3 linked regions of the Macaca mulatta genome follow. The protein of the gene in region 1 purifies or fractionates together with the protein of each later gene. This does not show direct contact. Links are inferred from orthologs where the notes say so. Each region holds a gene or a part of one and is shown in the gene's direction. Other genes may lie near its edges.

Region 1 (10,610 bases):
CCAAGTTGTAGCATGTATCTATACTTCATTTCTTTATATGGCTAAATATCTCATTCTCTGGATATGGCACATTTTGTTTATCCATTCATCAGGGGTGGACATTTGGGTTGTTTCTACTTTCAGACTATTATGAATGACACTGCTGTGTCTATTTGTGTACAAGTTTTTGTGTGGATATCTGTTTTCATTTCTCTTGGGTATATAACTAGATGTGTAATTGTTGGGTCATATGGTAATTATTTTAACTTCAAGGAACACCGTTACACTGTTTTCCGTACAATCCCACCAGCAATGTAAATTTCTGTTTGCTCCACTTTTCCACTGGTACTTGGTATTGTCATTTTTTTAAAAAATTTGAGCTGTTCTAGTGGTTGTGTAGTAGTAACTCATTGTGGGTTTTTTTTTCCTATTTTTATTTTTTAAATTGCTACATAATAGATGTACTTTTTTCAAGGTACATGTGATAATTTGATACATTCGTATAATTAAATCAGGGTAATTAGGCTATCCATCACCTCAAACTCTTTTTTTATGATAGGAACATTGAATTATTCTCTTCTAGCTATTTTGAAATGTATAATTGATTGTTACCTATAGTCAACCCTGCATTAACACCAGCTCTTATTTCTTCTAATTGTATATTTGCACTGATTAATCAACCTCTCTTCATTCCTCTTCTCCCCCTAGCCTTCCTAGCCTCTGGTAACCATCATTCTGCTATCTCCATGAGTTCAGTTTTGTTTTTTTTTTTAACTCTCACATATTAGAACATGCGATATTTGTCTTTTCTATGCCTAGCTTATTTCGCTGAACATACTGTCCTTTGGTTCCATCTGTTTTGTTGCAAATGACAGAATTTCATTCTTTTTTTATGGCGGAATAATATTCCATTGTATATGTGTACCACATTTTCTTTATTTGTCTGCTGATGGACACTTGAGTTAATTCTATATCTTGGCTATTGTGAATAGTGCTGCAGTAAACATGGAGTGCAGATATTTCTTCAATATATTGATTTCCTTTCTTTCAGGTATATACCCAGTAGTGGAATTGCTGGCTCATATTGTAGTTTTATTTTTAGTTTTTTGAGGAACCTTCATACTGTTTTCCGTAGTGGCTTTACTAACTTACTTCCCACTAACAGTGTATGAGGGTTCTCCTTTCTCCACTTCCTTGTCAGCATTGCCATCTTTTTGATAAAAGCCATTTTAACTGGGGTGAGATGATAGCTCATTGTGATTTTGATTTGTATTTCTCAATTAATAATGTTGAACATTTTTTCATACATGTGTTGGCCATTTGAATGTCATCTTTTGAGAAATGTCTATTCAGATCTGGTGCTCATTTTAAAACTGGATTTTTTTTTTGAGCTCCTTATATATTCTGATTATTAATCTCTTGTCAGATGGATAGTTTGCAAATATTTTCTTCCATTCTGTGGGTTGTCTCTTTGTGAATTGTTTCCTTGGCTGTGCAAAAGTTTTTTAACTTAATGTAATCCCATTTGTCTGTTTTTGCTTTATTGCCTATACTTTTGAGGTCTTACACAATGAGTCTTTGCCCAGACCAGTGTTCTGGAGCATTTCTCCAATGTATTCTTTCAGTAATTCTATAGTTTCAGATTTTAGATTCAAGTCTTTAATCCATTTTGATTTGACTTTTGTATATGGTAAGAGATAGGGGTCTAGTCTCATTCTTCTGCATACGGTTATCCAGTTTTCCTAGCACCATTTATCGATGAGACTGCCTTTTCCTCATTGTGTTTGTGATACCTTTGTTGAAAATGAGTTAGCGGAAAATGTGTGGATTTATATTTGGGTTTTTTATTCTGTTCCATTGGTCTATGTGTCTTTTTATGACAGTATTATGTTATGCTATTTTGGTTACTATAGCTTTTTAGTAAATTTTGAAGCTGGGTAATATGATTCTTCCAGGTTTTTTTTTTTGTTGTTCAGGATTACTTTGGCAGTTGAAGAATGTCATTGGTAGTTTGATAGGGATTGCATTGAATCTGTAAATTACTTTGGGTAGTATTGTCATTTTAACGATATTAATTTTTCCAGTCCATGCTATTTTTTGTGTCCTCTTCAATTTGTTTTATCAGTGTTTTTTAGTTTTTTATGTATAGACCTTTCACATCTTTGGCTAAATTGATTCTTAGGTGTTTTATATTCTCTGTAGCTATTGCAAATGGGATTGCTTTTTTTTTTCTTTTTTAGATTGTCCACTATTGGTGTATATAAATGCTACTGATTTTTGTATGTTGATTTTGTATCCTGCAACTTTACTGAATTAGTTTGTAAGTTTAATAGTTTTTTGGTGGAGTCTTTAGGTTTTTCTAAATATAAGATCATATAGTCTGCACAAAAGATTAATTTGACTTCTTCCTTTCCAATTTGATTGCCCTTTGTTTCTTTCTCCTCTATAATTGCTGAGGCCAGGACTTCCAGTATTATGTTGAGAAAAGTGGTGAAAAATGAGCATTCTTATATTGTTCCAGATCTTAGAGGAAAGGCTTTCAATTTTTCCCCGTTCAGTATGATGTTGGCCGTGAGTTTGTCTTACTATTTTGAGATGTGTCCCTTCTATATCTAGTTTTTTGAGGGTTTTTATCATGAAGGGATGTTGAATTTTTATTAAAGGCTTTTTCAGCATCTGTTGAAATGATCATATGGTTTTTGTTCTTGGTTCTGTTAATGTGACGAATCATGTTTATTGGTTTATGTATGTTGAATCATCCTTGCATCTCTGGGATGAATCCTGCTTGATCATGGTGAATGATCTTTTTAATGTGTTGTTGAATTCAGTTCATTGTGGTTTTAACTTAGATTTCTGTAATGACTTACAGGGTTGAGCATTTTTTAATGTACTTATTTGCCATCTCTGTATATCTTCCCTCTTCAGACATTTGTCCATTTTTTATTGAATTTTTCTTACTGAGTTTGGAGAATTCTTTATATATTCTGGATATAAATCCTTTATCAGATAGAAGTTTTGTAATTTTTTTCCCCAGTCTGTGGCTTCTGTTTTTGTGTTCTCAATGTTATCTAAAACTTTCTAATTTTGATGAGGTCCAATTTATCATTTTTCTTTTATGGATTGTGCTTTTGGTGTTACATCAAAGAAATCTTTGCCTAACTCAAGGTCAATTCTAGGATTTCCTCTCCTAGGTGTTCTTCTAGAAGTTTCATAGTATTGGGTTTTTTTTTGTTTTGTTTTGTTTTTGTTTTTTTTTTTTTGAGACGGAGTCTCGCTGTGTCTCCCAGGCTGGAGTGCAGTGGCGTGATCTCGGCTCACTGCAAGCTCCGCCTCCCGGGTTCACGCCATTCTCCCGCCTCAGCCTCCCAAGTAGCTGAGACTACAGGCGCCCGCCACCACGCCCGGCTAGTTTTTTGTATTTTTAGTAGAGACGGGGTTTCACCATGTTAGCCAGGATAGTCTCGATCTCCTGACCTCGTGATCCACCCGTCTCGGCCTCCCAAAGTGCTGGGATTACAGGCTTGAGCCACCGCGCCCGGCCAGTATTGGGTTTTACATTTAGGTCCATGATCCATTTTGAGTTAACTTTTATATGTACATAGTGTTAGATTTTTAGTGTCACTGTATTGCCTCTAGTTAACTCAGTCTTCATACCAGAAATTCATGAGATTTTTTAAATGAATGCCCACACCTAATTTAGGGAAGGTAAACTTGTATAGTTCATTTGAATTACCAGATGGTTTTAGTATACATTCTTGCAAAGGATATGTTCATGGTTTTTCATATTTAATGCTGTGAAATTATGTTTATCTTGCCAGTTATGTATTGTTTAATATATAATTGTTTAGAAGTTATGCTAATTTTCAAAATGTTAAAGTAAACTGGCGTTCAGTTTAAATTATAATTTGAATGAAAAAGTAAAAATTTGTCCTTTGTTGAGAAAAGAAAATAGGAAGCCAGTTTAATATTCTGCAAACATCAGTGATTCGTAGCCTACTTCCTTTTCCTCAAGACCTTTGCACTTGCTGTTTCCCTCTGCCTAGAACAACACTTTTCCCCCAGTTAACTAGATAGTTCATTGCCTCATTCTTTCAAGTTTTGTGCAAATGTCACTCCCAGTGAGGCTTTCCCCAACCGTGCTATTCAAAATTGTAATCCCGGTAATCAGTAGTCCCAGTTCTACTTCCTGTTTTATTTTTCTTGTAGCACTTTATTCTCTGTTATGAACTTTACGTATTTGTCTATGTCCCCTGCCAGAATATAAGATCCTTGAGAACAGAGATTTTAGCTTTGTTCACTAATGTATGCCTAGAAGCTAAAATACTGCCTAGCATGTAGTATTCAACAGATATTGAATGAATAAGTTAATAAATGTATGAAGTTATACATATTTAACACAGGGTTAATTTTAAACCTCAGAGCTTCTCATAGGAACATACTAGTGAAAGAAGAAAATATTTTACAATAAATTATTAAGATGATTTCATAAACATTTGCTATAGAAACTTTTATGATTATTGGGGTTTTTATTTGCAGGGTTCAGTTTGGCAAAGACTTGGTGCAGATGTGACAGCAGTTGAATTTTTAGGTCATGTAGGTGGAGTTGGAATTGATATGGAGATATCTAAAAACTTTCAACGCATCCTTCAAAAACAGGGGTTTAAATTTAAATTGAATACAAAGGTTACTGGTGCTACCAAGAAGTCAGATGGAAAAATTGATGTTTCGTAAGTATACATCATTTGTTTTTGATGTAGCATCCCTGTCTTGTTTCTTGAAGGAAAACACTCAAGTTTCAAAATCAGCTTAGCAAATACAGGTTTTTTTATAACGTAAGGTCATTTTATTACTTAATATCACTCAGTTGCTTATCAAATTATTGCATTAGCACATTGAAATTTATGATTAGGTTAATGCTAGAAAGATTAATCCAATATTCTCATTGTTGTACCTTCTTATAGTGTATTCAGAAAAATTTAAATTCCCAATATTCAATAAAATTGAACCAATATTTTTTGGCAGATATATGGGGAAATCAGTAATAAAAGATTGTTTACTATACGTCTGGTACTCTACTGATTAAATACTTTAGTGGCATTTCACATATTTAATGAATTAGTTCTTAAATAAATATTTAAATTAAATAGTTAATAGTATTTAAATAGTTTAATAACTAACTTTTACTCAAAGATAAGAAGCTGAATTCATTGACTTAATTAATGACTAACTTGCCACACAGCTAGTGAGTGGCAGTCAGTAGTTGAATTTGGATTTTTGTGACCCAGAGACCATATTCTTAACTGCTGGTTTATTATACTGTGGTTTTTGTGAGATTTTAATAATGGACCTCTAGATTTTAATGATAAATCTCTTTCATTGTCTGAGTCTTATGTTTGCATTCAAATAACTTATATTGTTAAAAATGTCATCAGTGCTGGCTGGGTGTGGTGGCTCACACCTGTAATCCCAGCACTTTGGGAGATCGAGGTGGGTGGATCATGAGATCAGGAGATCAAGACTAGCTTGGCCAACGTGGTAAAACCCCATCTCTACTAAAAATATAAAAATTAGCTGGATGTGGTGGTGTGCACCTGTAGTCCCAGCTACTCAGGAGGCTGAGGCAGGAGAATCTCTGAAACCTGGGAGGTGGAGGTTGCTGTGAGCTGAGATTGCACCACTGTACTCCAGTCTGGCGACAGAGCAAGACTCCATCTCAGAAACAAAACAAAACAAAAATGTCATCAACAGTTGAGAAATAACTGGCCTTAAATTTCTAAGCCTATCAATTTATGCAGATGTGTATTTAACATTTATATACTGTTTGTTATCTAGTATTGAAGCTGCTTCTGGTGGTAAAGCTGAAGTTATCACTTGTGATGTACTCTTGGTTTGCATTGGCCGACGACCCTTTACTAAGAATTTGGGACTAGAAGAGCTGGGAATTGAACTAGATCCCAGAGGTAGAATTCCAGTTAATACCAGATTTCAAACTAAAATTCCAAAGTAAGTTGGATAATTGTCTGCATTTTCAGTAATTTTAAAATTTATTTCAAACAGTATTTTGAAAAGTAAGATTTTTATGCTTAGAATATGTATTGGCTTTGGGGAAGAACAGTAAACTTACAAAATGTAAAATAAAAAAGAACTGAATTTTACTCAGAGATAAGAAGCCGAATTCATAGATTTTTGAAGAGCTGCATTTGATACATTTTTTGGTGACTTATTTACTGGAAACTTCTGTTACCATGATTTAACTGAAGATAAGTAGCTGTGCTTTCAGAAATTCATTGTGTTTCTTTTGATTTCTGTGGTAGTATCTATGCCATTGGTGATGTAGTTGCTGGTCCAATGCTGGCTCACAAAGCAGAGGATGAAGGCATTATCTGTGTGGAAGGAATGGCTGGTGGTGCTGTGCACATTGACTACAATTGTGTGCCATCAGTGATTTACACACACCCTGAAGTTGCTTGGGTTGGCAAATCAGAAGAGCAGTTGAAAGAAGAGGTAAGTCTGAACATGGGTGGTTTTACGCCAATGTGTGAGTTGTGCCATTGACACTGGTGGTTGAGAAACAGCATTTTATCATTAGGCTAATGTATTTAACAGCTGTGAAATATAGTTTAGCTTATATATTTTTTCCCTTGTTAGCATTATAAAGAGATCATTCACAGATTTATCAGCAGTAATTGAGAGGAGGAGAAGTTGCTTATATTAAAAAACTAGTAATTCCAGATTTTTTATATTTGGCTTTGAAATATAACCAGATGGACAGACATTTGTATTTGCTTGCATTTGTGCCCAAGATATATTTCATTAACCAGTCTTTTGGTCTTTCCTTCTATGTGCTTTGCGAACAATTGCCTTCTTGGGATTTATTTTCTGAACAAATGGTAGATGATGTTACTAATTGGAATGAACTTTTCTGGCACTTACGTAGATTCTTTTTTTCTGACTGTCACACAGGGTATTGAGTACAAAGTTGGGAAATTCCCATTTGCTGCTAACAGCAGAGCTAAGACAAATGCTGACACAGATGGCATGGTGAAGATCCTTGGGCAGAAATCGACAGACAGAGTACTGGGAGCACATATTCTTGGACCAGTGAGTATTATAAAACCAGAGAAATCCCATTAAGATTTCTAGAAAGCATCACTGTTTATTAATTATAAACCGCCTGGTGTTACTCTGAGGTTGCTCATTTCCAGCAAAACTTTGAATATGGCTCTCTCTACATCATTTCTAGAAGAATACCAGCAGCACTCTCACAGTCTTGCTCACTGTATCATCTACTTTCTGTCCTGCAGCCAAGATTCTCTCTTTAAAACATATACCAGATTATGCCCCTGAAAGTCTTCCAGTGGTGCTTTTCAACTTCAGATTGTTACATCCAGGGCCTCACTGAATCTGTTTGTGCCTACTTTTCTGACCTCTTCTTTTTCTGCTCTCCTTTACTCATTAATTCCATGTCACATGGGCCTTCTCTCATTTTCACAACAGGCCAAATGTTTGCATTTTAGGGCCTTTGTGCTTAAGGTACCCTCTGTTTAAACTCTTCTGCCTCCAGATCTTTGAATGGCTGGCTCCTATTGTTCAGGTCTCAGCTCAAATGTTACCTCCTAAGGGAAGCCTTTCCTACCACTGAGCCTAAAGTATATATCTTTCTTATAGATATCTCTTGTATCTGATGTAACAATAATGAGAATAGAATATTTGAGTGCTGTGTCACTTTAGTATACATTTTGTTATTTTTACATAAGCTTTGTGAGATAGGTGCTGTTATTTTTGAGGTGAAGAAACTGAATGAAGCACACAGAACCAATGAATGGTTAAGGTAGTAAATGGTAGATATGAATTGAAGGCCCTTTGGCTTCAGAGCCCAAGCTCTTCAGTGTCGCCTTTTCTGTTAAGCTTTTCCTGACTTTTCTTCAACTGATAGACAGATTTAAGGCGTTTTTAAGATCTAAAAGCTTCCTCTGTTAACCATTGCTATCCTATTAGCATGTAGTTTTTTACCATGGTAGCAAATTTACTTGGCTTGTTATTTTAAAGGGTGCTGGAGAAATGGTAAATGAAGCTGCTCTTGCTTTGGAATATGGAGCATCCTGTGAAGATATAGCTAGAGTCTGTCATGCACATCCGGTAATTATTAACAACATATAGAATTGATGGTTGCCTAAATTTTCTTCTGGCCCACAAATATTTGTTTTTTAATTCTAAATTTCTTCCCTTGCAGACCTTATCAGAAGCTTTTAGAGAAGCAAATCTTGCTGCATCATTTGGCAAATCAATCAACTTTTGAATTAGAAGATTATATATTTTTTTTTCTGAAATTTCCTGGGAGCTTTTGTAGAAGTCACATTCCTGAACAGGATATTCTCACAGCTCCAAGAATTTCTAGGACTGAATTATGAAACTTTTGGAAGGTATTTAATAGGTTTGGACAGAATGGAATACTCTTATATCTATATTTTACATAAATTTAGTATTTTGTTTCAGTGCACTAATATGTAAGACAAAAAGCTACTTATTGTAGCATCCTGGAATATCTCCGTCAACTCATATTTTCATGCTGTTCATGAAAGATTCAATGCCACTGAATTTAAATAGCTTTTTTCTCTGATACAGAAAAGTTGAATTTTACATAGATGGAGTTAGAATTTGATATGTGAACAGTTGTGTTTGAAGCAAAGTGATCAAGTTATTTTTAATTTGGTTTTCACATTAGAAACAAGTCAGTCATTCAAATAAGATTCAAATGTCTATAAACCAAACTGATGTAAGTAAGTGGCTTCTTGTTTTATTTAACCCCTGAATTCTTTTAGTTTAGGGGTAGAATTTATGTGTTTAAGAGGTTTTTAAGATTCCATTGTTGTCTACAACTCTGAAGGGTAATTACATAGTTATCCAAATTAAGAGAGTCTATTTACGGAACTCAAATACGTGGGGATTCAAATGTATTACAGTGGGGAATGAAGATACTGAAATAAACATCTTAAATATTCATTTACTGGTTATTATGAGTACGTGTTGAGATGGTCGTAGTTTTTTTTACGACTACCTCTAGTGTATATTCTTATTTAGTAGGCCTGAATGCATCTTTATTTTCATGTTATAGGACAATATTAAGGCATTTTAAAGGTCATTATCCTTTCATCTATTTTAGAGACACCTACTAAATGTTTAATATATACTTTTGGAGAAGTATAATATAAGGGAGTCTTTAATCTGTGTTTTCCTTGGCTGGGTAAATGACTATTTAAAGAGTGGTATAAAATTGGATGTGTGGTGTTTAAAATGACCATGTCCTAAGGAAACTTAAGTAACAAAGTACTAAATGCTAAGTAGGCTTTTGTATATTGTAACAAATTACTAAATGCTAAGTAGGCTTTTGCATATTATAACTAAATTTAAGAATAATTCAGATTAAGTAGTTCTGAAATTTGGTATAGATAGCATAGATTGTCTCATGCTCATTATGAGTGACATAACGACCCTGGATTCTGTTACATACTTCTAAAGAAAATTGATAGTTGTCTAACTTGGCTGAACACCAACTCCAAACTCTGTCTTCTTTGTAGGTGGCAGCAGCTGAAATCTCTTCTCAGTTGTTTTAGCTTTACCTATGCTGCTGGAAGTCTTTCCCATGCAAGTGTGTAGTTCAGGGGTCAACCAGAGTTTGGGCAGAAGTCTGCCCCTTCTGTGCCTCCTGTTTTTTTGGGGTTTCCCCTTCATGTTCCAGCTGTTGTGGTTGCCCCATATTCTGCCCTCTGATCCTTAACCAATAAAACTTGGCTTCTGTTTCCCCCTCAAGTGAGAACCTATTAAAAATGAGACATTTAGCCAGTGCTGTTCACTTTTTAAGTGCCAGCTCCCCTCTACTTTCCACCTGTTTGTAGTTGTTTCCAGTGCCTTTAGTTTTTCCTAAAATATGTTTGTTCAGAGTTTGCAGTTGCGATCAGCAGGAGGGTTGGTCTGGTATCTGTGTGCTACTTTGGCATTATTGGAAGTGAACTCTGCATCTTTTTAAAAATTTGAAATCCCAGTATCATGTGAAGTGCTGTTAATGTAAATACCAACATATCCCTTACTCAGGGGAAAAAAAGTTTTTAGTTAGGGAATAGTGAAATATAATTTAATATGGAATCCTAGCTGTAGAGACACAAAACAGTTAAATCCATCTTTAAGTGTTTACATTCAGTATGAGAATGCAAATCTGGGTGGGGAATAAAGTCCTAAGAATAAAACAAGTTTTTTCAGTTACTGTTATCTACTAAGCTCTCAATATTTTCATAGCTTGTGAAGAGTGAGATTAATTGTCCACTTCATTGAACTGATTAAAATAAATTCAACCGGCTGGGAGCAGTGGCTCACTCCTGTAATCCCAGCACTTTGGGAGGCCAAGGTGGGCGGATCACCTGTGGTCAGGAGTTTGAGACCAACCTGGCCAACGTGGTAAAACCCCATCTCTACTAATTAAATATAAAAATTAGCCAGGTGTGGTGGCAGGCCCCTGTAATCCCAGATACTAAGGAGGCTGAGGCAGGAGAATCACTTGAACCCAAGAGGCGGAGGTTGCAGTGAACTGAGATCATGCCACTGCACTCTAGCCTGGCGACAGAGCGAGACTGTGT
Region 2 (10,610 bases), on another chromosome or scaffold:
AGAACATTTTGTATTCTGTAGTTTTTAAATATCTTCATTTTTTTCTTGGTTATACATAGACCTTACAGTTATTTTGACGTTATAAAAGTAAAAATACCTAAAGGCAACTTAAATCTATTTTACTTTTCTATTATAAAAATGCTTGTTGTAGAATATTCAAACAATCCTGAAGTGTAAAAAGTTAAAGTCCCCATCAATCCAAATCTTTCTCCCAAATGGTGTAAGTGTGCAACACATAACCAGAGATACCGTGTATGTCTATATCTCTCACCCCTCAGAGGTAACCACTGTTAATGGCTTTGTGCATACAGGGTGAGTTCATTCTCCAGTTTCTGTTATTACTGTAAAGGCCATATTTGTAAATGCCTTGGTCTTTGAGGTTCATTTTGAACGAGTCCAGAATGTATTGATGTGCTGCTTTCTAGCAGGAGAACCGAGTAGGAGATACCATATGGAGTTTGTGTGTGGTTTTTTTGTTTTGGGGTTTTTGTTTTGTTTTTTTTGGCATAACACCTTGTTTTACTTCCGAGTTAGTCTTGTTAATCTTGCTGCCTTATCTGATCTGAATCTGTTATCTTGAGGGCAGAAATTCCATTATACCTTGCACAATGGCTTGTACCCTGGGCAAGCCATATATCTATTCTGGATTTAGTTAAGAAAGAGACCTGGCTGGACATGGTGACTCACTCTCGTAATCCCAGCGCTTTGGGCAGGATCTTGGAGACCCATCTGGGCAATGAAGTCCGTAGTCTACAAAGAGTAATTTAAAAAAATTAGCTGGGTGGCATGTGCCTGTAGTCCCAGTTACTTGGGAGGCAGAGGTGGGAGGATCCCTTAAGTCCAGGAGTTCGAGGTTACAGTGAACTATTATCATGCCACTGTACTGCAGCCTGGGTGACAGAGCAAGTCTCTGTCTCTTAAAAAACAAAAAACCGGCCGGGCGCGGTGGCTCAAGCCTGTAATCCCAGCACTTTGGGAGGCCGAGGCGGGCGGATCACAAGGTCAGGAGATCGAGACCACAGTGAAACCCCGTCTCTACTAAAAATACAAAAAATTAGCCGGGCGCGGTGGCGGGCGCCTGTAGTCCCAGCTACTCAGGAGGCTGAGGCAGGAGAATGGCGGGAACCCGGGAGGCGGAGCTTGCAGTGAGCCGAGATCGCGCCACTGCACTCCAGCCTGGGCAACAGCGTGAGACTCCGTCTCAAAAAAAAAAAAAAAAAAAAAAAAAAACCAAATCAAGATTCTAGGTCCTTTCAGTCTACAAAGGACCAAGGTGCTTATTTTTTCTTTAAAGAACCAAATGTAAGTCTGTTTTGTGAGAGCCAGCATTGCATTGCAACACAGGGGCCTGGGCGTACTTGGGGAGCTCACCGTCTAAGGTACCTGGGTCATTAGGCTCTACTCCAGACCTGCTGAGTCAGAATCCCTGGGGGAGAGGCCTAGACATGTGAACTTTGAAAAGGTTCCTCCCCAAGTGACACTGATGTACACCCCTGGTCAGGAGTCACTGTTTAAGGGAAAGGTGACCCATGGGGCCTTAACTAAAGTGTGAGTGGTTCACCTGCTAAAGGAGTTAACGTGTGTTTCTTTTATAGCATTAACAACAACAGTGTCTTCAGTGTTCGCTTCTTCAGAACTACAGCTGTATGCAGTAAGTACCTGCCTTCTTGGGAATGGAATTTTATGGGAAGAGCAACAAGTGATTGAGTTTAATTAAAGAAAAATAATGAAAAATGAACTACTTGTGATTTTCTTTTTTGCATTTTTCCTAGAGGATGACTTGGTTACAGTCAAAACCCCAGCATTTGCAGAATCTGTCACAGAGGGAGATGTCAGGTGGGAGAAAGGTAAGATTTAGTTTCCTCTCTTCTTGTTTTTCTTTTTGTTTTTGGTTTTTTTTTTTTTTTTTTTTTTTTTGGAGACAGAGTCTCACTCTGTTCCCAGCCTGGAGTGCAGTGGTATGATCTCGGCTCACTGCAGCCTCCACCTCCCAGGTTCAAGTGATTCTCTTGCCTCAGCCTCCTGAGTAGCTGGGATTACAGGTGCCCACCACCACGCATGGCCAAGTTTTTTGTATTTTTAGTAGAGATGGGGTTTCACCATGTTGGTCAGGCTGGTCTCAAACTCCTGACCTCAGGTGATCTGCCCGCCTTGGCCTGCCACAAAGTGTTGGCGTGAGCCACTGTGCCTGGCTCCTCTCACTTCTTAAGTTTAAGTGCTTTCTAAAATTCTCCCCTCCGCCAAGGATAGTTGTAGAATTTATAGCTCTGCCCTTTTCTTTACATATGTACTTTCCGCTGGCCCTGTAGGAAACGGTTCTTGTAACATACTGGAGGCTCCCCGCTAACAGGTAGCCTTTGATTGTCTTTTCAGCTGTTGGAGACACCGTTGCAGAAGATGAAGTGGTTTGTGAGATTGAAACTGACAAGGTAGGCTTATCTTATATTACCAGTTTTTCATGGGCTTCCCTTAGTTAACCTAATGAAACAGGGACTTAACCGTTGTTTAGAGATAATTTTTAACTAGCTCTAACCTCAGTTGTAAAATTATTGGATTTGTTCAATTTAAAAAAAAACTTTTTACATTTAACTTCCTTTTTTTTTTTTTTTTTTTTTTGAGACGGAGTCGTGCTCTGTCGCCCAGGCTGGAGTGCAGTGGCCGGATCTCAGCTCACTGCAAGCTCTGCCTCCCGAGTCTATGCCATTCTCCTGCCTCAGCCTCCTGAGTAGCTGGGACTACAGGCGCCCGCCACCTTGCCCGGCTAGTTTTTTTTTGTATTTTTTTGGTAGAGACGGGGTTTCACCGTGTTAGCCAGGCTGGTCTCGATCTCCTGACCTCGTGATCCGCCCGTCTCGGCCTCCCAAAGTGCTGGGATTACAGGCTTGAGCCACCGCGCCCGGCCAACTTCCTTTTTTTTTTTTTTTTCTGAGACGGAGTCTTGCTCTGTTGCCCAGACTGGAGTGCAGTGGCCTGATTTCAGCTCACTGCAACCTCCACCTCCCGGGTTCAAGCGATTCTCCTGCCTCAGCCTCCCTAGTAGCTGGGATTATAGGCGCATGCCACCACACCTGGCTAATTTTTGTACTTCTTATAGAGACAGGGTTTCGCCAGGCTGGTCTCAAACTCCTGACCTCAGGTGATCTGCCTGCCTCTGCCTCCCAAAGTGTTGGGATTACAGGCGTGAGCCACCGCACCTGACCTGCATTTAACTTTAAATTGTTTGCTGTGTGTGTACTATGTACTTCATTTAGTAGCTTTAGTCTTGTAGTGTGTGGTGATGGGGTGAGGAGGGTAAGTAAGCTGTTTCCAGTTTTTCCTGTATCACTTGGAAACCTATTAACTGAATATTGCCTGAATGTTTCTGAGAAAGGACAGAAAGGGTGAATCTTCACAATAGCGTTGACTTGTCATCACCTTTGCTCTGAAATTGTGGCCTTAGGTGTTTGTGTGCAGGGCCTTATATATTGTGTTACCACTCTTGTGACTCATTGGAGGTTTTTGTTGTTGTTGTTGTTTTGAGACGGCGTTTCGCTCTGTCACCCAGGCTGGAGTATAATGGTGCGATACTGGCTTCACCTGCCAGGTTCAAACGATTTTCCTGCCTCAGCCTCCCAAGTAGCTGGGATTACATTTTTGTAGTTTTTAGTAGAGATAGGGTTTCACCATGTTGGCCAGGCTGGTCTTGAACTCCTGACCTCAAGTGATCCACCTGCCTTGGCCTCCCAGTGTACTGGGACTACAGGCATGAACCACCGTGCCCGGCTTCGTTGGATATTCTATACAGCTAATTTTCTAATGCTGGATAAACATTTGGACTTCCTCCATCTGTCTTCCTCTTCCAGACATCTGTGCAGGTTCCATCACCAGCAAATGGCGTGATTGAAGCTCTTTTGGTACCTGATGGGGGAAAAGTCGAAGGAGGCACTCCGCTTTTCACACTCAGGAAAACTGGTGGTAAAGAAGTTCTCCTGGTGCTCAAGGTCTCCAGTGTTCCCTCTTGGGATTGGGACTGAGCATAATGTGCTAATTCCCTGATATGTCAAAGACTCTGTCATTCCAGCTGCCCTTAGTTGAGGGAATAAGGGGTAAATTTATATATAGTGTGAACTTTAAATGTCAAATTCTAGAAGAAAAGTTTATTTTTAAAAAAATAAACCTCATACTCTGTTCTTTCCATGGGTGTTTCTTAGCAGGAGCTGAGAAACTGAACCTTTTCTTATAGATACACAGATTGAGCATACCTAATCTGAAAACTCAAAATCTGAAATGCTCCAAAACTGAAAATCCAAAATCTGAAATGCTCCAAAACTGAAAATCCAAAATCTGAAATGCTCCACAACTGAAAATCCAAAATCTAAAATGCTCCACAACTGAAAATCCAAAATCTAAAATGCTCCACAACTGAAAATCCAAAATCTGAAATGCTTCAGAACTTTCTGAGCACTGACGTAATGCTCAAAGGAAATGCTCGTTGTCTATTATGGGGAATTCAGTGTTGTTTCTTATCACATCTATTCTCTCATATCTCTAGGAAGGGTTGGTATTTCTTTTGGGAAGAAATGAGAAACAATTTGTACTAGACCTGATAGGATTAGAGATTAATAACTGTTTATCTGACTCTTAGTGAAATTTTATAACCACTAAAATGTCTATTTCTTTTTCCTAAGCGAGAATCATACTCGTAGACCAACGAGTCACAAATGTCTATTTCTTTTTCATTGTTACACTAATAATGCAGATCGACCACATGATTGAGGTTAATCAGGCAAGACCAGAAGCTCAGAGTAGAAAACATGTATGGTAGAAGGCTAGGAAATAAGGGTAGTCCTCCTGTTGCAGAAGTTTGTCTTAGCACTAACCCTGGATGTAATATCCAGATGGGTGAAAAATAGAAACAAACATTTCATTTAAAGTTGTGAGATTATTACTTGGCCACCTCAGTGATTTATGAGTCATCCTGGATGAAGCGCTTTTTTAAGCCTAAGTCAGCCCTCGATGAATTTTTTTTTTTTAATTTTTTTTTTTTTTTTTTTTTGAGATGGAGTCTTGCTCTGTTGCCCAGGCAGGAGTGCAGTGGCCTGATCTTGACTCACTGCAACATCTGCCTCCAGAGTTCAAGTGATCCTCTTGCCTCAGCCTGTTGAGTAGCTGGGACTACAGGTGCGTGCCACCATGCACAGCTAATTTTTGTATTAGTAGGGACGGGGTTTCACCATGTTGGCCAGGATGGTTTTGATCTGTTGACCTCGTGATCCGCCTGCCTTGGCCTCCCAAAGTGCTGGGATTACAGACGTGAGCAACTGCACCCAGCCTATTTTTTAGTAGTATTCTTGCATATATAATGTTAGAATAGAGGATGGAGAGTATCAGTAATTAGAAATACGTTTATGTATGCATTTCAATATTTTAAATTGCCTAGACTTTTTTTTTTCTCTTGGAAGTTTACATTTTCTTGGGCTTGGTAGGTGCTTTGAAAGTACTTGCTGAATTTATTCAGTAGAAACCTGTGAAATCGAGGAGGGAGCTAAATTGAGCCAGTTATCTGATGGACATTCAGGGACCCTGAGGAATAGAGAATAGTGCCTTATGTCATTGTGTGTGTGTCTCATAGTGCCTTGCATATTGCCAATACCCAGTAGACATTTGTTACTTGATTGGAGCTAGAGTTTTTGCCACTAAATTTGGCTTAGTAGCTGTGATTTGGTTGCTTTCCATTTCAGATAGTGCCAGTGGCATCTACTTTTCTTGTTTTTCAGCTGCTCCTGCTAAGGCCAAACCGGCCGAAGCTCCTGCTGCTGCAGCCCCAAAGGCAGAACCTACAGCAGTGCCAGTTCCTCCCCCTGCAGCACCCATACCCACTCAGATGCCACCAGTGCCCTCACCCTCACAACCTTCTTCTAGCAAACCTGGTAGGCTTCCAACTCCCACGTGTCATGTGGGGGAACATCTCGTCTAATATGTTGCCTCAGGGTAAACTCTAAGACTAATCATGGTTCTGAACAGGCCAGGTTGACTGCCTTGTAGAAAGAATTCTCGACTTTGTATCTGAAGTTCTGTTTTGCATCTCAGCTTTCTGTTACTAGCTGTGTGTCTTTAGGCTAGTCACTTAATTTATCTGAACGGATTATTCATCTGTGAAGTTGGAGTGATACTAATACACCTCAGAATATCTTGAAGGTTAAGTAACAGGACATATGAAAGCACTGGCACAAACTCAGTAGATGTTTCTTTCTTTGTCTGATGCCACTTTATCCTCTCTTCATTTTCAGTGTCTGCAGTGAAACCCACTGCTGCCCCACCACTAGCTGAGCCAGGAGCTGGCAAAGGTCTGCGTTCAGAACATCGGGTAAGCCTCTGCGGACCACTTCCAGGAAAGAGGCAGGGGGCAGTGTTGAGATTAGTGGAGTATGGGTGTGGTGGTGCCTACCTTTGAATGGCTGGCAGCTCATTCCCTCAACCTTGACAAAGGGAGTTTAGAATATAACTTCTTCATAGTCACATCACCATCAAATGATAGAACTAGAACCCGAGGTCTTCTGAACACTTGTTCAGTGGCTTTCCTGCTATATTATGCTCAGTGAAAGCCTTGGGTAAGTTAAATATTTGTAGGGGATGGTAGCTTAGTAACTCACCCCCTTCCTCCCACGATGTCACACACTTCAGAGAGGTGGTTTAGTGAGCTCTATTCCTATACTTCCGGGATACTTAGCTGTAGCTAAGGGATAATACTCAGTAGCAATAGCTGTCAGGTGCAGACATAAAACCTCAAGGAAGTATGGTCAAGAGTGTGGTTCTTCTGCCTGAGAATACTTCCTAAAAATATGATAGCCTCAAAAGTTTGTTGCTTATGAGGTTCCGTTCCACAAATAGCTATTGTCATGCAAGTCTTTAGCAATAGAAAGTGCCCTTTTTCTTATGATTCTTATGTTGGCTAGACTACACTACACTACATTCTTTCATAAATTGGTTTTGGTTTTTAAATCACCGTTTCTGAGCCTTCATTCTTGGTCAAGCTTCAGGCACATCTGAGTGAGTAGTTTTGGCCTGTGTTTGCATGTTTTTGCTTGGAGGAGAAAGGGCCACTACAGGAAAGGGAAGCCTGGAGCTCTTGTTTTACTTAGGTACTATAGCCCTTGGCCATCCACTCGTGGCAGGCCATGTTCTTTCTGACTACACGGGGAATGCTTGACCCAGAGAGATCAGATTATCAATGCTTGTTCCACTCTCGCTTTCAGGAGAAAATGAACAGGATGCGGCAGCGCATTGCTCAGCGTCTGAAGGAGGCCCAGAATACATGTGCAATGCTGACAACTTTTAATGAGATTGACATGAGGTAGTGTTTCTAGCCCCTGTTATCCCCTAGGCCCTTTTTTCTTAGAGAACACTCGAACTTGCCCCTGTCCTTATCTCCTTATCTAGTGCTGATTCTAAAACTTAACTTGTCAGGGAAGAGGTATTTCTTTGCTTTGTTTATTGTTTTTTTTGTTGTTGTTTTGTTTTTTGAGACGGAGTCTCACTGTCTCCCAGGCTAGAGTGCAGTGGGGCGATCTCGTCTCACTGCAAGCTCCACCTCCCAGGTTCACGCCATTGTCTGGGTTCACGCCATTGTCCTGCCTCAGCCTCCTGAGTAGCTGGGACTACAGGCGCCTGCCACCACGCTCGGCTAATTTTTTGTATTTTTTTAGTAGAGATGGGGTTTCACCATGTTAGCCAGGATGGTCTCGATCTCCTAACCTCGTGATCCATCCGCCTCAGCCTCCCAAAGTGCTGGGATTACTGTCGTGAGCCACTGCGCCCGGCCTGTTTATTGTTAACTTTCACAGAGCGACCCACTGGCTTCTTCTCTAATTGGCTTTCCTGATACTATGCCTGCCTTCTCCATGACCTTAACCTTAGCCTTGGCTAGGTGTAGTGGTTCACACCTATAATCCTGGCACTTTGGGAGGCCGAGGCAGGCAGATTGCTTGAGTCCAGGAGTTCAAGACCAGCTGGGTAACAAGGTGAAACCCCACCTCGACAAAAAATACAAAAATTAGCCAAGTGTGGTGGTGCACACCTGTAGCCCCAGCTACTTGGGGGGCTGAGATGGGAGGATCGTTTGAGCCCAGGAGGTTGAGGGTACAGTGAGCTGAGATCATGTCACTGCACCCCAGCCTGGGTGACAGACTGAGACACCCTGTCTCAAGAAAAACCCAACAACTTAGCATTTTAGACTTTTAAACCTGAATCTTGCGATTTCTGATAAATGAGAGTAGTCATAGTTGTACACTCTGACTAGTGTCAGGTTGCCAAACAGAGATGGGACAACCAGGCCAACGTGGTTTATGCAAAGGTCTCCCACTCGGGATGGAGAAGCCGTGACAGCATGCCGAGAGCCTGGGCACCACATCCTACTTCTTTTACACAGGGGTTGCTCCTTACATGTTTTCCTAAGTGATTCAGAATCGGGTAGATGAAAAGGCAAAGATAGGCTAGGCTTGTCTTTCATTTTACCCAGCTTTGATAGTAAAATGGAAAACAAGTTGTGTTTTTAACTAACCTTAGAATGTTAACCAAAGGTACTAATTCACTGGGTATGCCCATTTCTGTAGTGAGCTAATTGTTGACTCACCTGTTTTCTTCAAGATTTTGATGTGTTCAGGTATCAGCACTGTCAGGAAGAGAAATTTGACAAACATGTTTTGAGTGTGTACTGTGTACAGAGTACTGTACTGTGGAATTCAGTGGGGTTATAGACTGGGCGCCATGGCTCGTGCCTGTAATCCCAGAGCTTTGGGAGGACAAGGAAGGAGGATCGCTTGAGCTTAGGAGTTGGAAACCACCCTGGGCAACATAGCGAGACTGTCTCTACATAAAATTTAAAAATTAGCCAAGTGAGGGCTGGGTGCAGTGGCTCGCACTTGTAATCCCAACACTTTGGGAGGCTGAGGTGGTTGGATCACATGAGGCCAGGCCAGGAGTTCGAGACCAGCCTGGCCAACATGGTGAAACTCTGCCTCTAGTAAAAATACAGAAATTACCCAGGCATGGTGGCGCGTGCCTATAATCCCAGCTAATGGGAAGGCTGAGGCACGAGAATTGCTTGAACCCAGGAGGAGGTTGCAGTGGCAGAGATTGTGCCACTGCACTCCAGCCTGGGCAACAGAATGAGACTCTATCTCAAAAAAAATAAAATAAAATCAGGTACGGTGGTGTGGACCTATAGTCTCAGCTACTTGGGAGGCTCAAGTGATCCTCCTGCCTCAGCCTCCCAAATGACTGGGACCACTGGGAACACAGGCATGTGCCACCAGGCTTGGCCAATTTTTTTAGTTTTTGTAGAGACAAGGTCTTGCTGTGTTGCCCAGGCTGGTCTCCTGAACTTCTAGGGTCAGGCCATCCTCCTGCCTTGGTCTCCCACTGGAATTATAGGCATGAACCACCAGGCCTGGCCAGAAAAGAATTTTTAAACAGGTCTTCAAGAATGGCTAGCATTTTGTCAGCCTTGTGGAGAAAGGTCATTCCAGACGATGTTAACAGTGTAGACCATGAGATGGGAAAGTAGAAGACACATTTGAGAAATTGTCAAAAATCATTTCTGTTGTGAGGATTATGTATAGCAAAGAATGGTAAAGAAGGTTGGATCCTTACTTGAGAATGTTTTGAATGCCAGGGTAGGAGTTTATATTTAAGTCAGGAAGCAAATCAAGTCTCAGGTCATCTCTTTGTTTCTTTTTGTCCTGAGGGTTTAGTCTGCATATCTACTTTTCATTAGAGAAATTTGCTTTTCTTTGGGAAGGCTTTGAAAATAGGGAGAAGGGAAGCTTTCTTGGTAGTGTGCTGTGGTATTGTTTAGAGTAGGGCTCTGCGACCTGTTTTACTGGATGTCATCCATTCTATTGGGAAACTTTCTGAAGAGACTGGATGACATTCAAGCCAAAGATTTCTCTCTTGTTCACAGGATGTAGGGGAAGGACCTTGACTAATGAATCACAAAGGCTGCAGCTTATGTTTCAGTGCATTAGGGCCAAATTGTACACAAATTGAATTGGACTTTGAAATTCTACCCAATTTCTTAAGACAAAACATGTAAATATTTGTGTCCCTGAAAGATGCAGTTGGCCCAACAGCTTTGATTGGAAAGTAAGCATAATAGCTGGATCTCCTTTCAGCAGCTAATCAAGGTGTCACTTAACAATGGCTTGCAGTCTTGCTGCAGCCTAATTTGGTTTAGATCGAGTGCCCTTTGGGTCTTGTGCTGATCAGCTAACCCATAAGGGACCTTTCTGAGACCTTCTCCCTTTCCCTGTTGTCCCAGCCTTTGCCTCCAAGGGCAGAGCTCTGAAATAGAAACTACTTAATGACCAGACAATGACATTTGGGCAGGTTTGAGAGCAGAGATGTTTATCACATCTCTTTCCCTCTTCTGCAGCTCTTGTGTCTTGGGAACCAGTAATGTCTTTAGGGTGGTAATCCTAGCACTAAATAAGGTTAGAATCAGGAAAACAAGCATTTTAAACCCAATCAGTCCCCCTTGGAAAAACTTCCTTTTTCAAAAACAAAAGATTTGAAGGGGGCTGTTAAAATTGTACCACATCTTACCTTTCATGCTAATGTCTAATTAGGCCATT
Region 3 (10,610 bases), on another chromosome or scaffold:
TTTTTGTTTTGTTTGAGATAGAGTCTCTTTGTCACCCAGGCTGGAGTGCAGTAGCATGATGACAGCTCACTGTAGCCTCAGCCTGCCGGGCTCGAGCGATCCTCCTACCTTAGCCTCCTGAGTAGCTGGGAACATAGGCGTGCGCCACCATCACACCCAGCCAATTTAAAAAAAATAAATTTTTTTAGTAGAGGCATGGTTTCGCTATGTTGCCCAGTCTGGTCTCCATCTCCAGGCTCAAGCAGTCCTCCCACCTGGGCCTCCCAAAGTGCTGGGATTGCTCTCACTCTCTTAAAACCAGGCAGGTGGGGAGATTCATCTCAGGTTTAAAGATTGCCATTGTCTTATCAAAGAGTGTGTGTTGTGAAACTTTGAAATGAATTTCAAGATTGTGTTTTCATTTTTGAATAAGGTCTATAGTTTTCATAGTTCTTATTTCATGGAAGAAGACAGAATTGCATTTAAAATGTTATTCTTTGTTTTATTGTTTGCATTTCTGTATGACTTTTTGAGATCTTTACTGTGTTTTGGCTTTATAAGTGGTAGGTAAGAGTTTTAATTTACACTGTTAGAATATGGAATTTTTGAAACATTTTTCCTCTTCCACATGAATGATTCCTATGTATTTAGGAAGTTAAAGTTTTACTTTTTTTAAATTAATTTTTTTTTTAGGCTGGACTGCAGTGGCACAATCATAGCTCACTGTAGCCTCAGATGTGCGCCACCACACGTGACTAATTTTTTAATAATTATTTTTGTAGAGATGAGAGTCTCATTATGTTTCCCAGGCTGGCTTTGAACTCGTGGCCTCAAGTGATCCTCCCACCTTGGCCTCCCAAAGTGCTGGGGATTATAGGCATGAGCCACCATGCCCAGCCTAATTATTATTTTTTAAAATTTGAATGGGTTGTTCGTGGTCTCTGTCAGAGAGGAATCCCATTTAACAGAGAATCTTTTTATGACTCTCCAGAGAAAATGAATAGTAAACTTATCTTTTCAACAAGCTCTCAGAAATTATGATACACTCACACTTCTGATAGGACTTTTAGCTTCTTTAACTTTGCTCCTTTCACTCGTATCAGTGGTTCTTATTTTTGAGATACACAATAATGAAGCCAGGGGAGAATGTATCTAAGTAGCTTTCTGGCAGTCCTAATCTTTGCAGGCACAAGATTACGGGTGCGTGCCACAGCACTGGGCCCCTTCTTGCTCTTTATTGTATAGCATTATCCTGCCTCATCGTTTCAACTCTAGGATTGAGAAAGAAGTTACCTTTCCTCTGTTACTGTTTCCTGGCTGATTTGGACTCCTGCCTTCCAAAAACTGCAGTTTCTCTAGTTGTATTTGGAAATTTATTTCGCAATACAGTACATTTCTGGCCCCACAAAATAATTTATTAGTTGCCAAGAATAACACATCTGTTTGATGATTGCCAAATATAACCATTGATTTGCTGTTTCACCCTCTCTCAGCTTTACTTCTTCCTAAATTCCCTTCAGTTTTTCTGAGATACATTAGTGGACTGTCTCTGTCTGTAAGTTAACTGAAACACTGATTCTTAGTATTTCAGTTGTTTTCCTCCAGCACTGTCATTGTCTGTGTTTGTTGGCTTTGTCCTATAATGGTCTATTGAGGGATGAAGAGATATGTAATTAGCTTTCTGCCTATTGGCTTGTACACTCCAGCATATACTTGGCAGATCAGTCTTAACTCTTCTCACCAAGATCCAGTCCACTGCTGGATTACGTAAAGTATGAACACATCAAATGTGCTTTTTATGGAGAAATTATGTTGGTTTACATGTCAGTGTGTGAGAATATGGCAGAAGGGAGTTAAAATAGTACGATAATACTAACTGGATAAATACTGTCATCTAACCAAAACCTTAGCCATTACATAGAATACTTTTGCTGTGAGCAGGTTTGCTCAATTGTAAAACTGGAAAGGAATCATTTCTTGCCTCCTCCCAAGCTTTTTACCTCCAAACAGTGACAGCCACCCAAACGTCAAGAGAACAGTGTTTTAGAGAACGTTTCTTTCTACTGGGGCTTCAGGAGGAGCCTACCCAAGATTTAGGCTGTTCGAATTATAAATTATAAAACAGCTGGCTCAAGCACATTGTGTTTAAGTCAGAGAGTGCTAAGTATCTTTTCTTTTGTCTTGTCTCCCTAATGTATTTATCTCATACTTCAATCAATTTAAAATATTTTTTCTTACAGATACAATTTGATAGAAGAGTCAACTTCCCCTGGAGTGGGGATTAAATCATAGTTTTATTTGAAGTATAATTTTGGCTTGCTCAAAATGAACAGTATCTGGTTATGACTAGAATGGCATGAACAGGTCGGACGCAGTGGCTCACGCCTGCAATTCCAGCACTTTGGGAGGCCAAGGCAGGTGGATCACCAGAGGTCAGGAGTTGGAGACCAGCCTGGCCAACATGGTGAAACCCTGTCTCTACTAAAAATACAAAAATTGGCCGGGCGTGGTTGTGGGTGCCTGTAATCCCAGCTACTCGGGTGACTGAGACAGAAGAATCACTTGAACCCGGGAGGTGGAGGTTGCAGTGAGCCGAGATTGCGCCACTGCACTCCAGCCTGGGTGATAAAAGCAAAACTCTGTCTCAAAACAAACAAACAAAAGAATGGCATAAACAAACACAGCTCACAGATGATCTAGTCTCTTTAGCCACTAATTTCATTATATTCTCAACTATAATTTCTTTGAAAACAAAGGATGGGTTTGGTTTTTGCCCCTCTTTGCACTGCTTGCCTTCAGATGGCGGGATGATCATGTTTCATTGGCCAAAGCATGAATTCATTTTGGAGGCTAAGAAAGATGCAAACACAGTGCACAGGGTGGAAGAGAAGCCTATGAGTACGTTGGGGCTTATTAAATTTCCATAACTTCATCCTGATAACTGATTAATAGTTATACTTTCCAAAATAGCTGACAATTAAAAAGGACTGATTTGTTTGTATATTTTTGTCTTTTAAGGCAAGCAGAGTGCTGGTAGCATCTCGTAATTTTGCAAATGATGCTACATTTGAAATTAAGGTAAGAGGTGTTTTACTTTGTTAATAATTTTTTCACAGGTACACTCTGATATACAGTTTTACTTTTAGAATAGAACATGTTCAGTCATTTTCTTCTAAACGTTCAGGATCAGAGGTTCAGAGAAGCTTCACGAAAACTAGAATTTATTAGCAGCAGCTTGCTGTTGTTCTGTGGGGGGTAGGGGGAGGAGCTAGAAAATAAAAATAAAAGCTTATTCTAAAGTTTAGAAAGTAATTCAGTGAAATATTTGAATAAGAAGAGTCTTAGTTGTTTCTTTGAAGGTTCTTTCAACCTATATCTCAGTTGGCTTCTAGGGGCTTTCAGTGAAAATCATAGAAAGATTTCCTTTCCCCAAACCCCATCTCATTGCACAGTGAGGTTTATGGATTTAAGGAACAGAGGCGATATGAAGCATTACTAATGTGCTCCTTAGCAGTTTTTCAAGTTCAATATTATTTGCAATGGAATTAGATCTTAGAGTGGTCAACAGTGTTTGCAGTGTAGTATGTGGAGGATAATAACTACCTTATTCCATTTCAGAAATGTGACCTTCACCGACTGGAAGAAGGCCCTCCTGTCACAACAGTGCTCACCAGGGAGGATGGGCTCAAATACTACAGGATGATGCAGACTGTGCGCCGAATGGAGTTGAAAGCAGATCAGCTGTATAAACAGAAAATTATTCGTGGTTTCTGTCACTTGTGTGATGGTCAGGTGAGTGGTAGGTTTGTGATAGAACTGTGTTTTTAGGTACTGAAGTATGGCTTGTACTTATTGGGCTTTACCCTGCCTTATGTATCAGAAGAGTTTGAGGCTGGTAATGTAATTTTCTTTTATTTATTTATTTTTTTGAGACAATCTCTCTGTCGCCCAGGTTAGAGTATAGTGGTGTGATCATGGCTCACTGCAGCCTCTGCCCCCTGGGCTCAAGCAGTCCTCCCACCTCAGCCTCCCAAGTAGCTGGGACCACAGGTGCACACCACCAGACCCAGCCAATTTTTGTATTTTTTGGAGAGACGGGGTCTCACTGTGTTGCCCAGGCTGGTCTCAAACTTCTGGGCTCAAGTGGTCTGCCCACCTTAGCCTCCCAAGGTGCTAGGATTATAGGCGTGAGCCACTGTGCCTGGCTGAAGCCAGTATTTTAGAATTAAAAAGTAGAATGCCAAAACCTGCTATGAAGCTTAGGCTAAAGAATTCATTCACACATAACATTGCCAGTTTTCTGTACCTGTTCTCAGAGTTTTACTATTTTAAAACTTTCTGGCACTGTGATCACCTGTACTGTATATAATTTGGAGAGAAAGGATTAGTTTGTTTTTTGTTTTGTGGGCTTATGTCAAGGGTTATAGAATCAAATACCTATAAGGGCCAGCCAGGTAGAATAAATGAGTGAAGAAGGCTAGGTATACAAAACAGAATGGTGACAGGGACTCGTGCTGAACTGGGACCAGCATGCCCTACCCAGAGGAATGCCATGACTTGGTTCCAGCCAGTTGGTGCCATGTGGAAATCAGGGGTAATGCTTCCTGTTTTCCATGTCTCCAAGAGAAGGCGGAAGTCTGGATTTTCATGTGAAATTCCCCAGTGTTTTAATGTTGACATCTGATGTAGGATTTGCTTTTAGGTCATCATACAGGAGAAAGGAAGGAAGTGGCCCATGTGTGGGTTGCCAGTTTATTGCTTCTGGCTTGGGCCGTCCGCTCTGTATTTTGGTGGAAAATAGCTACTTTCTCTGGTTATTAATGACAGGTTCTACTAGCCCAAATATTTCACTACGGTCTAGGAAACGTTTTTATTTAGAAACATGTATCGTATTGCTTCATAGTTTCTCCTTCCTCTAACAGGAAGCTTGCTGTGTGGGCCTGGAAGCCGGCATCAACCCCACAGACCATCTCATAACAGCCTACCGGGCTCATGGCTTTACCTTCACCCGGGGCCTTTCCGTCCGAGAAATTCTCGCAGAGCTTACAGGTTTGCTGTTGATTTACAGAAAGGGGAAATGAGTGGATTAAGTTTTTAAATATCTCTCATTAAGATGCTATTTTATGAGTTAATATTTAAAGTTTTAAGTTTCTTTTTTTAACCCTCTCTCCTTTGGTGCTCTGGTACTTCTGTTGTGCTCTTGAGTTAACTGACCATTTGTGAAGTTCTCTGGCCCCTCAGGTAAAAGTTTAAAACAGGTTAGTGCTATAAAATCACAATAGGTTTGGTTATCATTCAAGCATGCCAGCAGAAGTCTAGCAGTCATAAAAAAGTAAGTTGGGTTGAAGCTTGGTATGCGATGTAAATTCTAGAAATCTTCTTAATATTCCCCTTTTCTTTGTCCCCCTTGACTATTTTTTTGTTTTGGTTTTTTGTTTTGTTTTGTTTTGTTTTTTTTGAGACTATGTCTCACTCTGTTGTCCAGGCTGGAATGCAGTGGTGTGATATCAGCTCACTGCAACTGCCACCTCCCAGGTTCAAGCAATTCTCATGCCTTAGCCTCCCAGGTAGCTGGGACTACAGGCATGCACCACCACACCCGGCTAATTTTTGTATTTTTAGTAGAGATGGGGTTTCACCATGTTGGCCAGGCTGGTCTCCAACTCCTGACCTCAGGTGATCTATCTGCCTCGGCCTCCCAAAGTGTGCTGGGATTACAAGCATGAGCCACCACGCCTGGCCTGTTTTGTGTTTTTGAGACAGTCTTGCTTTGTTGCCCAGGCTAGAGTGCAGTGGCCTGCCTCAGCCTCCCAAAATACTAGGATTACAGGTGTGGGCCACTGTGCCCAGCCCTTCTTCTTCTTTTTTTTTTTTTGTTTTGAAGACAGAGTTTCGTTCTTTTGCCCAGGCTGGAGTGGCTGGAGTGAAGTGGTGTGATTTTGGCTCACTGCAACCTCCATCCCCCAGGTTCAAGCAATTCTCCTGTCTCAGCCTCCCGAGTAGCTAGGATTATAGGTGCCAAACCACCACAGCTGGCTAATTTTTGTATTTTTAGTAGAGACCAGGTTTCAGCATGTTGGCCAGGCTGGTCTCGAACTCTTGACCTCAGGTGATCTACCCACTTCGACCTCCCAAAGTGTTAGGATTACAGGCGTGAGCCACTGCACCCGGCCCTCCTGGACTCTTGAACTATGGTTGTCCCTCCATATATCCAGGGGATTGGTTCTAGGACCCTTGAATATACCAAAATCCTCAAATACTCAAGTCCTGAAGTCAGCCTTCCATATCTTCGGGTTTGCATCCTGAGAATATTGTATTTTCAATCCATGTGTGGCTGAAAAAAAAAAATCTGTATAAGTTTACCCGTGCAGTTCAAACCCTGTTCAAGGATTGAATATATTTAGTGTACTAGTAGAGGAGAGGTCCTAAGATGTTGGTAACTGGTCAAAAAACCAAAAAAGTCTAGGGTACCATCTGGACTTTTGCTAACATCTGAAGGAAACTAAGTGACTGGAGAGTAGGAAAAGCTGGAAAGGTTGAAGCACATGGAACTAGTAAAAGGACAAGCAGAAACGTGTTTGCCTGGAGAGACAGGTACTTAGATGACTGAATTGGCCTCTGCGTTCTAATGGTTGAGCCACTTGGGGTGTGGTTTGGTTTGCTTTGTAGAGTTGGTTTGTGCTGCACATGTGTATGTTCTGCCATTTCCAGGACGAAAAGGAGGTTGTGCTAAAGGGAAAGGAGGATCGATGCACATGTATGCCAAGAACTTCTACGGGGGCAATGGCATCGTGGGAGCGCAGGTAGTCAAGGACGAGGACTGTGTGCTGCTTTAGATTTGGCCCTGGCCTTTGTCTTCAAAAACTTTCCCAGCCCCAGACAACTTTTCGTGAAGTAGTATAGCCATGTGCTGCACAGTGACACTTTGGTCAATGTCGCATATATGATGGTGGACCCATAAACTTATAATAGAGCTGAAAAATTGCTGTCACCTAGTGATGTTGTAGTGGCACAACACATTACCTTTTCTATGTTTAGGTACGCAAATATTTTGCCTACAGGATTCAGTACAGTCACATGCTGTGCAGCGTTGTAGCCTAGGAGCAGTAGGCTCTACCATACAGCCTAGGTGTGCAGTAGGCTGTACCTTCTAGGTTTGTGCATTACAGTATGGTGTTCACACGACAAAATAGCTTAGTGATGCAATTCTGAGAATATATCCCTGTTGTTAAGCGATGCGTGACTGTATTTTGGGGGCTTGGTTTGCTTTTAAAGACCTAGTGCTTCATATCCTACCATTTGAGCGATGAGTTGAGTAGATTTGGATGGTGATTTATAATGTTTCCTTTTAGGTGTCTGCTATTTTATAAGTAAGCAAGAGCCTCTAGCAGTGGAGCCTACCTTCCCCTTCCTATTTGTATTTCAGTACATTGCCTTATCTTGTCAACTTCATTATGGAGTCCTTGTTCTCATCAGTTAGTGGATGATGAAGAATTAACAGCACAAAATTATATCCCAACTGTTTCTCTTCCTAATATATTAAGATTCTATTATGTGTTTTTTTAAAAAACCTACTTTTTTTTTCCCCCTTTTTTCTTTTGAAATGGAGTCTTGCTAAGCCGCCCAGGCTGGAGCAGTGGTGTGATCTCAGCTCACCGCACCTCCACCCCCGGGTTCAAGCAATTCTCCTGCCTCAGCCTCCTAAGTAGCTGGGACTACAGTTAAGCGCCACCGTGCCCAGCCATTTTTTGTATTTTTAGTAGAGGCAGGGTTTCACCATCTTGTCCAGGATGGTCTCGATCTCTTGACCTCGTGATCTGCCCAAAGTGCTGGGATTACAGGCGTGAGCCACCATGCCCGGCCACGTTTTATTTTTTAACTCTTGAATGCAGAAATGTTATTGCTTACTGGTTAAAATAGAACATAGTATTTATATATTCCTTTACTGCTTCATTGAAAGTATCGGGGGTGGGATAAACAGAGAGATGGGGTTGGAAGGAGAGTTTGTAGCAGCAGTGTAATTTCTGTGCCAGATTCTGACCAGGAGTTAAAATGCAGGGCATTGATATCTCCCCTCATGGATTTCTATGGTTCCTTTCTCGGTTGTCCTTAATGTTAGGTGCCCCTGGGCGCTGGGATTGCTCTAGCCTGTAAGTATAATGGAAAAGATGAGGTCTGCCTGACTTTATATGGCGATGGTGCTGCTAACCAGGTAATTATGTCTCTTAACTTTCCAATAACGGTCTTATTTTCAAAGTGTTTAATATTCACAGTTGAATTTCCAAAGAAGCAGCTTATTGCTTATTAGGTGAAATAGTAATTCCTATGGCTAGCTCAAATTTGGTTGACTTATGGCCAGATTAGAGAGTGACCTTTTAGCATTGTTTCACAAAAGACTTAGGGGGGCGCATTCCTGTGAAGGAGCTCACCTTTGCTCTATATCAGTGCTTGATAAAGGACCTCCCCTAACCTATTGCAAAATGATACAGACCCATTCTCTTGGATGTCCGCGCTGGCAGTGTCAAATTCGGGTAATAGCGTCTCAGTCCTAATTCAGTTTTTGTGCTTCTCTTGGTACCGAGTAATACCCAGTCTGTGGCCGGTACTCTGTGAAGCCCTGTTCTAGAGGCTGATTCTTAGGTGCTGGTTCACTCTGACTATCCAGTGGGCCCGATAGATTTCATACTGATCTTTTTTCCAGTGTGTTCCTTACTGCTAGCATGGCCCCAAAGAAACAAGTAGTAGTTGGTTTGTCATCTTTCTTAGTTGCAAGAGTATGATGCCTGCTGCTTCTCATCTGTCACCCACCCCGCTTTCCCTCACCATCCAAAGCTCGGTTTTTTGGTTGTTTTTTTTGTTTTGTTTTTGAGAGAGAGTCTTGCTCTGTTGCCCAGGCTGGAGCGCAGTGGCACGATCTCCGCTCACTGCAAGCTCTGCCTCCCGGGTTCACGCCATTCTCCTGCCTCAGCCTCCCAAGTAGCTGGGACTACAGGCGCCTGCCACCATGCCCGGCTACTTTGTATTTTTAGTAGAGACGGGGTTTCACCGTGTTAGCCAGGACGGTCTTGATCTGCTGACCTCGTGATCCACCCTCCTCGGCCTCCCAAAGTGCTGGGATTACATGCCTGAGCCACCGTGCCCAGCCCAAAGCTCGGTTTTAGAAGAGGAGGCTTTCTGTGCTTTATGAAAGCTTTCTGTGCCAGGCAGAGCAGCAGCTGTTACAGATGATGGATCCTAGAGAAAGAAGCCAAATGAAACCCCTTTTCATAACTACTTCCAGGGCCAGATATTTGAAGCTTACAACATGGCAGCTTTGTGGAAATTACCTTGTATTTTCATCTGTGAGAATAATCGCTATGGAATGGGAACATCTGTTGAGAGAGCAGCAGCCAGCACTGATTACTACAAGAGAGGCGATTTCATTCCTGGGCTGAGAGTAAGGACACCTGTGGTGGGGCCGGGGCCAAGGCCAGGGGTATGTCCTTGTGCAGACCCTTGACAATCTTAGAAACATTGAAGAGTTTCGTTCTCAAACATAAGCAGGTGATGTGAAAGTAAAATGGTTTGGGGCAGCTGGATTCATGCTTCGCCCCTCCCGTTTATTAACAGGTGGATGGAATGGATATCTTGTGCGTCCGAGAGGCGACAAGGTTTGCTGCCGCCTATTGTAGATCTGGGAAGGTAAGACTCTAAAGGCCTCTGGGCTAATGACATTTATCTCTGGAAGTTCAAAGACTGCCTCCCGTGTGCCTGCTGAAGCTGTTAGTGGGTAGCTGCTAATTGAGGTGCACAAGATGGAAGCAGAGTGAAGCAAGCAGGGCTCCTTTGGGTAGCTTGGTCTTGGTAGCTCACCTGCTGGGAAGCCCACATTTCTCTCATTTGGGGGAAGTCTGTCCTGGTGCTTCCTCTGCTTTCGCCTGTCTTCATCATGACAACTACACTGCCTTTTTGTTAGGTTAATTCTGTCCCTCCTCCCCACCCCCCATTAATCATGAGTCCCTTGAAGGAACAGATTGGGGATCCCCGTAGTGTCCAGCATAGAATGTCATGTATACAATAGGCATTTAATATGTGTGTCTTACACAAACAGTATGGTTGAAGCTTGTAATCTTAGTCTTGCTCAGTCCTAAGGATCTTTCCCTTCAGTGTATGGCAGTGAGGGAGATGGTAACAGGGAGACTGGCCTAAAGAGGTTTCAGTTCCTTCAGCACTAGTATAGGCTTAGGAGGTTTAGGTGTTCTCCCTAAATTAGTGTTCCACAGCCCAGACACAAGGTTTCTGAAGTTGTCACTTCAGTGCCATACCATGTATGTTTGGGCAGTGATGCAAATGTCAGAAAGTGGGGAGACAGGGAAGTAAGGGTGGGATGTAGTAACATTAAATAAGAGCTAATGAGTAGAATGAACTAGAGCAGGACCAAGATGACAGCTTGGATACAATGGGCTGAGCAGTCTGTCAGGACCCTAAGGCTGGGAGTGCCAGGCCCTGAGTGATGGATATTGACCCCACCTCTCCCAATTCCTGAAAAGAATACATGGGGGCCAGCCCTGGCTGGAGACATGGTGATTTGTAGAATGTATGACTTCCCAAACACATAACCTTCACAATTCTGAGTTAGGTGTTACTGTTTT

The links. The genes of interacting proteins can lie anywhere in the genome.
Region 2: the proteins of DLD (region 1) and DLST purify together in Homo sapiens (affinity purification with mass spectrometry; 3 studies listed by BioGRID and IntAct, counting the BioPlex papers as one, with this or other methods). This does not show direct contact. The link is inferred for Macaca mulatta from reciprocal best matches to the Homo sapiens genes DLD and DLST.
Region 3: the proteins of DLD (region 1) and PDHA1 purify together in Homo sapiens (affinity purification with mass spectrometry; 4 studies listed by BioGRID and IntAct, counting the BioPlex papers as one, with this or other methods). This does not show direct contact. The link is inferred for Macaca mulatta from reciprocal best matches to the Homo sapiens genes DLD and PDHA1.

What each region holds. Positions count from the first base shown.
Region 1 is NC_133408.1:147,511,150-147,521,759, forward strand, and holds the end of DLD (dihydrolipoyl dehydrogenase, mitochondrial), read left to right. Parts: intron 1-4,515; coding exon 4,516-4,706; intron 4,707-5,811; coding exon 5,812-5,982; intron 5,983-6,293; coding exon 6,294-6,483; intron 6,484-6,942; coding exon 6,943-7,080; intron 7,081-8,028; coding exon 8,029-8,118; intron 8,119-8,212; coding exon 8,213-8,278; 3' UTR 8,279-8,982; downstream 8,983-10,610. UniProt on the Homo sapiens protein: Lipoamide dehydrogenase is a component of the glycine cleavage system as well as an E3 component of three alpha-ketoacid dehydrogenase complexes (pyruvate-, alpha-ketoglutarate-, and branched-chain amino acid-dehydrogenase complex).
Region 2 is NC_133412.1:148,084,665-148,095,274, forward strand, and holds part of DLST (dihydrolipoyllysine-residue succinyltransferase component of 2-oxoglutarate dehydrogenase complex, mitochondrial), read left to right. Parts: intron 1-1,595; coding exon 1,596-1,651; intron 1,652-1,772; coding exon 1,773-1,847; intron 1,848-2,373; coding exon 2,374-2,429; intron 2,430-3,842; coding exon 3,843-3,954; intron 3,955-5,756; coding exon 5,757-5,909; intron 5,910-6,269; coding exon 6,270-6,346; intron 6,347-7,235; coding exon 7,236-7,333; intron 7,334-10,610. UniProt on the Homo sapiens protein: Dihydrolipoamide succinyltransferase (E2) component of the 2-oxoglutarate dehydrogenase complex. The 2-oxoglutarate dehydrogenase complex catalyzes the overall conversion of 2-oxoglutarate to succinyl-CoA and CO(2).
Region 3 is NC_133426.1:19,083,229-19,093,838, forward strand, and holds part of PDHA1 (pyruvate dehydrogenase E1 component subunit alpha, somatic form, mitochondrial), read left to right. Parts: intron 1-2,997; coding exon 2,998-3,057; intron 3,058-3,597; coding exon 3,598-3,771; intron 3,772-4,901; coding exon 4,902-5,028; intron 5,029-6,690; coding exon 6,691-6,782; intron 6,783-8,098; coding exon 8,099-8,191; intron 8,192-9,259; coding exon 9,260-9,415; intron 9,416-9,588; coding exon 9,589-9,660; intron 9,661-10,610. UniProt on the Homo sapiens protein: The pyruvate dehydrogenase complex catalyzes the overall conversion of pyruvate to acetyl-CoA and CO(2), and thereby links the glycolytic pathway to the tricarboxylic cycle.